Danio rerio: one gene and its partner. The protein of the gene in region 1 interacts with the protein of each later gene in a pairwise test. Links are inferred from orthologs where the notes say so. Each region holds a gene or a part of one and is shown on either strand. Other genes may lie near its edges. The genes, in order: ctnnd1 and zbtb33.

Region 1 (3,833 bases):
GTTATTAAAACTGTTTAGAAATGTTTAAAACTTTGTTAAACAGAAATTGGGGAAAATAATATACAGGGAGGCTAATAACTCTGACTGCAACTGTATGACTTTTCCTTCATGCACCTCGTCCATTTTCTTTTCAGTATGGGCGCTACATCAGAGCAACGATGAGACAGGAGCATGGCCTGCCAATGATGACGGAGCTGCTGTCTCATGGGAATGACCGCGTGGTCCGAGCCATGTCTGGAGCGCTGAGGAACCTGGCCATTGATGCTCGCAACCGTGAGCTGCTAGGTGTGTGAGAGAAATCAACCAATCAGATTTGTCATATGCAGGGGTAGAAAGAGAACTAAAAAATCATACACTGGTACCATTACTTGTCCAAAAATGTAGAGTAAAAGTATATGTTGTAAATATTACTTAAAGTACGAGTGAAAAGTAGTCTTTTTCGTAGTACTCAAGAGTGGTTACGTGTAATGATATGAAAGGGTGATGCGTTTAGATGCGATTTGTGCATGTGTGTGAAGCGTAACATTCTTTCCTGAATTTAGTGATTAAGGCCATTTGTTGATTTGAGTCTTCATACAGTCGATATCTTCGTTTTCATTATCCAAACACTCTCTCAGTCATTGCATGTAATGATTTGGTGTCATCTTTGACATTTTAAAGGCTTCCACACTAGATGTTTGCTGAATTTATAAACAGGGTGTCTTATGGTATTAAAAGTTGATAAATCGATTGAGAAAATTAAGGCCCTTAAAATGTATAAAAGTCTTAATCTTGTTTTTACTAGGGTTTTAATGTTTTGTTTATGCGTTGTCCAAAGTGTTTGACTCCAAAAAATCTAAAATATTTATTGTCCTCAATTGGTTAGGGCTAGGTGCATCCAAGCTCCTTTGTCCGGTTGATGTCAAGTAATTTGCGACAAACGCGGGAAGGTGATGTGGCGCTCTCCACATCTAACAAAATCATAGAGCAGGGCTATTCAAATGTTTTGGCGCTCCAAATAATGTGACGAAGACATCGAAATAAATTTAGTTCAGTCGAAAAACAGCCGATATAATTATGAAGTGACTTGCGTCTGTTCAACACAGCACAAGCTGCAGTTAAAGGCTGTTACCTGACGTTAAGTGAGCAGCCAATTGAATACTTAAGCTTAAAGGCTTCTCAACGAAACTGCAGCAACTAAACAAAGTTATGACACATTTTGCTAGTTTAAAATTCCGAGCTACACCAAGGCTAATACGCACAAACACTGGATTAACTATAGCAGCGGGTCATTCACATATTGCATCTTTTCCGCTTGCAAGTTTGTTATTTCCAATGGAAGAATATATGCCAACATGCGTGCGCAAGCGGAGTGATGCATTTGCACCTTCCAGACGCGCGACTAGAAAACATCTCACGCCGTAGCGGTGAGAGTTGTGCGTGGCTTTCAGTGGAATGTAAACGAAAGATAGGTTAGAATTATTACAAATTATTAAAATGGTCATGTATGTATAAACGCAGATGATTACAACCGTTCATTTAAATACTTACTTAATATAAAGCTTAAATTTACATTAGACGTGATAACACCATCATTATTCTTCAGACTATAATCGTACAACCAAAATCTATAATTGTTGCATCCCGAATTGTTATGCAGTTCAAAACATAAAATATGAATGTGTCTGAACATAGAAGAAGCCTACTTAAGCAATGCACTGCTTTTGTTGGGCTTTTAAAATACAGCATTTCATTGGTTGTAAAAACAAATGCCACATTGTACAATGCAATGATGTTATGTAGTTTAAAATACAATATATTAATTTAAAGTTTGAAAAATACAACGTGGGTGTCTTAAGGAGCAAAAACTCTCCATATGGGCTCTTGTATGCTGTTGTGTCATCACTTATATTGCAAGTCATATCTCTATGGTCCATCATTTGGGATGCTTTTCATGAACTGGCCCCCATGACAAACCAATTAAATAGCCTTGCCATAGAGCAAAACAGACGGCAAAATGTGACTATGCATGTTCGCATACTCCTGGTTAGAGAAAGATGAGTTTAAACCGTGGCTGAAACCTGTTGCTGAAAACAACCAGGTAATTTATTTTTTCAAGGTTTGTTTCTTCCGAGCTTGTTTAAGTTCTGTTTATTAACTACTGTTTATTAGGTTAAAGGTTTTATACTGATTAGAACTTAGTGGTGACGTGGTCTTAAAATATTCTGAGAAGGTCTTTAAAAAGTCTTAAGGTATTGAAATTTCTGCTTTGGATTCCTGCTTATACCCTGATAAATGTGATTCACAGAATTGATTATTCTATTAAAAAATAAGTAAATAATAAAGTATTGACTTCAGGTTGACGGAAAATAGTTCAGTAAAAGTACTGATGCATCTAAAATGTACTCGAGGGACAGTACACATTTTTGACAATTTTATTGTCTTCCTTTTTTTCTGTGCAGGGAAGCATGCGGTGCCTAACTTGGTGGCGAATCTGCCAGGCGGAGGTCAGAGTCAACCTGCGCGCGCACTCTCGGAGGAGACGGTGGTGTCTGTTCTCAGCACCATGGCAGAAGTGGTCGGCTCCAGTGTGGATGCTGCCAAAACACTGCGCAGCGCCCAGGGCATCGAGAGGCTGGTGCTTATCAACAAAGACAGGTGCGATTTTAGTAACCGTTTCATCACATTTAAAGAGGAAATAAAATGAAAGGAAAGTAAAGACAACTGATTTATTCTAGTTGTATGATCTAATTTATGATACAGTAATTATTTGCAAAGCTGCATTTAGTGCTGAGCGTAAATGGAAAATTTGGAAAATTAAAAATTTTTATCAATTTCTGAGGTAAATATGTGCCTTCCCTTTAAATGGTGGTCTATTGAAGGGAATAGGGTCAATTTTGAGCTGTCAAGGAGTTTCTTTTACATTGTACACTGTTAAGGTTTTAGTGTAATTTTATCTGCGACTGACCTAAACCAACAAAAATGTTCGCACAATAACAAACTTATTCTTTATAGAAATATTGTCTAACTCTTAACCCTCGAAAATAGGCATGTTTTTTTCAATATTGCACACCTCTTAATGGGATGGTCTACCCCCCAAAAATGTAATTTACTCATGTTTCAAACCTTTAAGTTTCTTCTGTTTAACACAAAAGAATATGTTTTGAAGAATGCTAAAAACCTGTGACCATTGACTTCCTTAGAATAAGTTTTTTCTTCTATTGAAGTCAATGGTTACAGGTTTATTTCAATGGTTAATGGTAGGGTTGGGTACCGAAACCTGATGCCATTATAGTACCGTTACCTTTGTAACCGGTATGTGTTGGATCAAATCAGCATATGAATTTCGGTGTCTAATTTCGGTGCCACTGGTGCTGCGACAAGGACGTTAGAAGTATCAAAGGGGTGCATCAAAGGCACACATAGGTACGCGTTGTCACACCATCTCTAAACATTTAATTCTAAACAACTCAGAGGAATACGGACGGCCGATTTTAGGCGCTTCTTGTTGCTTAGAGAACGGACGCAGACAGTACATCGCATTTGGTGAGTGAGAGTGACTCTTCAGATCAACACGCACGATCACGTTCATTAAATTTGCTTAAACTAAGCGTTCTAAAGCGTATTGTACAAGCAAGGATTCTGACACGGCAACATGCGCACTTGCTCTCTCTGTCAGTGACGGTGCTGGAAGATTATTTTGAGTTTAAGTTATTTAATTATCTTGTTTATGAAGACTGCGGAGTGATGCATGAAAAAAAATAACTTCGCAATTGATTAAAGGAAATATATTAATGCTATGCAAATCTATTAAATATGAATTTGTTTACTTTAAACTTTAATTATATTGTTCT
Region 2 (3,072 bases), on another chromosome or scaffold:
AAGTTATTTTATTTGTGTTTACTGTTTGATCTAGAGAAAGATGAGTGTTCAATTTCTGAATATTTAACAACACATTTGAATAAATGTTTAAGTAAGTTAATATCTTTTCAGTTCCTTTTTTTAACTAACACTCACTACATTTTAGCAGTAAGAACTTACGAAACAGAATATTGAGCTGAAGCTTGACTACAAAATTAAATCGCAAATCAAATCGAAATTGCAATATTGGTCAAAAAAATTGCAATGAAATATTTTCCCCAAAGCGCACTGCCCTAGTGGGAAGCACTGTAATATGAGCAATAGTATTTTGCAATATTATTCCCATGGGTGTATTGTTGTTGTCTCGAATATCTGCACGTCTAAGTTAAATAAATGAAAGTACATATTACTTTATTATACTTACTCTTCCCCCCACAGGCATGTCGAAACTGAAGCTGATATCAGTAGTGGACACTCAGTATCCAGGATCACTGTTGAAGAACATCAACGATGAGCGCCACAACGGTTTATTCTGTGATGTCACCATAGTCGTGCAAGACCGCAAGTTCAGGGCACACAAATGTGTCCTGTCTGCCTCAAGCACCTACTTCCGACAACTGTTTTCCGTCGCTGGAAAAGTTGTAGAGCTGAACTTCATAAAGGCAGACATATTCGACATGGTCCTTAATTACATTTACACTTCTCAAATGTTCAGAGTTCGATCTGACAGACTTGAAGACCTAATTAACGCCGGTCAAATTCTGGGTGTGACGTTCATAGCTAATTTAGCGATCCCGCTAGCACAAGTCAAGGGATTACCCGGCCTGTCCAAAGACGGCGACAACAACATTGTCAGCTCTCCAGAGAAACCTGAGGATGGAGGAGTGAATATGCCCATCATTACTGAGACCTTCTCACTGTCTGCCGAGGAGTTCAACATGACTGGTGCAAATACAGAAAAAGAGGACTCAGACAGCGATGATGTCCTGTTTGTGTCAAAAACTGAAGCCCCGCAAGCTCAAAAGACTAAAATATCAGATGTTCATAAAAATATCGAAGGAACACCAGAAACTAAAAAACAGAAAGTCACAAATGAGGAAGGAGTCGCCTCTAAAAGCTCAATACCCCAAGAAAAGAAATCGTCAGAAAGAAACGCATCACTCCAAAATAACCTTGATCCAGACGTTGTGATCCTTTCAAGTACTGAAAACAGTAGCAGTATTCTCACTTCACCAGTAGGAACAGGCTCAAATAGCAATCCCAAACCCCCAGCCTGTCCAGACAGCGTCCCTTCAGATCCTCAAAACGTCTCGCTGCCTTCAGACAACATCGAAGTCCTCGGTGTCCAAAAGAAAAAGGTCCTGCTAGAGCACTCCCCTGATCATCCTGGGAAGATCACACTGTCGGATGTAAGGTCATCATGTAGTAGCAGTAACGGACCAACCAACGTAATCCCAGCACTTTCGGTGAAGAAGACAATAACATTAGACAAAGCCTCGGAAATTGATTCTCTATCGCCGGGTTGTAAAGTGTATGCCAACATAGGTGAAAACACCTACGACATCGTTCCTGTCAAAGACGATCCCGGGGAGGGAGCAGCTCCAGGTTGCAAGTCCCAAATACAACCCGACTCTCCCAACACAGCCAGTCTCTCACCAAAATCAAAGAAGAAATTCAAGCCAGATCAGGAGGATCACTATGAAATTATCATGGACGGAAAGACATTTTTCGTGTGCATTGTTTGTAAACGCCCGTACGTTTGCCTGACGAGCCTTAGACGGCACTTTAACACTCATTCTTGGGAGCGAAAGTATCCGTGCCATTACTGCAACAAGGTATTCGCCCTGGCCGAGTACAGAACCAAACACGAAATCAGTCACACGGGGGAACGGCGGTACCAGTGTTTACTGTGCAACGAGATGTTTCTCAATTATCAGATTTTGTCCACCCACTGCAAGCAAGCGCACAACCAAGACCCTTCTGGAAGGAAAGAGAAAGACGACTCGGCCAACAACTTGTATCGGCTGCTGCCTTGTAAAACGGTGCAGTTCAAACCATATTCGTTTGTTTCTGACGAGTCAGGGGGAAGTCCGGTGATTGGTGAAGACGGGACAATCCAATACGTAAACTCGGAAAAGGAGCACTGTACCAACCAGCCACTTCCATCTAACCAAAGCAAAGCACTGAACTGGGATGACATCTTTGTAGAATCGGAAGGACAAAATGCTCGCCCTGCTCCACCTCCACAGCCTGTCGACCAAATAAATGCCCCGGCCAGGAATGAATTTGAGTTTGTTATACCAGAGACATACTGAGCACACTTGCTCAGCGATCTGGCTCAGGTGCCTTCTTCATTTCTTTGTGTTTTATTTGAAAGACAGGTTGTTGTTGCTCTTCTGTGGAGGCCTGTTTCTGTAGCTGGATAAACTAGTGATGAAGTGACTGACTCTTTCTGAAAATTTTCTTGTACAATTTCGAGTTTGTATTTGATTATATAGAATTTTTTTTACCTTAAAAGTCTGAATTTCTGAGGGAGAAGAATAGCAAGAAAATAACTCAGAATTGCAGGAAATAATTTGTATCTCACAATTCTGACTTTTTTATTCCAAATTGGGACAAGGCTTATGACTTTTTTGTTATAATAATTTTATATAGTTTTTAGACAATAATTTTGTTATTTATTGCAATTGCAAGTCTATATCTCATTATTTTAATACAATCTCACAATTCTGATCAGAAAAAGTCACAATTATAAAAATATGAGTAATAAAAAAAAGAAAATTTCTTGCAATTTTCTGAATTAAAGACTTCTCAACATTTGGCCTTTTTTCCTCAGAACTGGGTTAGAAATGCAAGCAATTTGTACATATTTTCTGAACTGTAAAATTATATCTTGAAATTGTGATATGAACATAAACTTTGTTAAAGACTGACAGTTCTGATGAAAAAAAGTATGAATTGCATGATAAAAAGTTCTATCTTGACTTCTGATATAAACAGAACTCTTTCTCAAAAGTAGGACTTTTATTTCTCACAATTGTGAGTGTGTATTTCTGAGATAATATATAAACATAGAATGTGATATATATGAGC

What was found.
Region 2: the proteins of ctnnd1 (region 1) and zbtb33 interact in binary tests that used the Homo sapiens proteins (3 or more experiments, as listed by UniProt). The link is inferred for Danio rerio from reciprocal best matches to the Homo sapiens genes CTNND1 and ZBTB33.

The regions. Positions count from the first base shown.
Region 1 is NC_133176.1:47,477,250-47,481,082, forward strand, and holds part of ctnnd1 (catenin delta-1), read left to right. Parts: intron 1-134; coding exon 135-285; intron 286-2,441; coding exon 2,442-2,637; intron 2,638-3,833. UniProt on the Homo sapiens protein: Key regulator of cell-cell adhesion that associates with and regulates the cell adhesion properties of both C-, E- and N-cadherins, being critical for their surface stability.
Region 2 is NC_133189.1:38,008,210-38,011,281, forward strand, and holds part of zbtb33 (transcriptional regulator Kaiso), read left to right. Parts: intron 1-417; 5' UTR 418-419; coding exon 420-2,294; 3' UTR 2,295-2,321; exon of another isoform or gene 2,322-2,743; intron 2,744-3,072. UniProt on the Homo sapiens protein: Transcriptional regulator with bimodal DNA-binding specificity.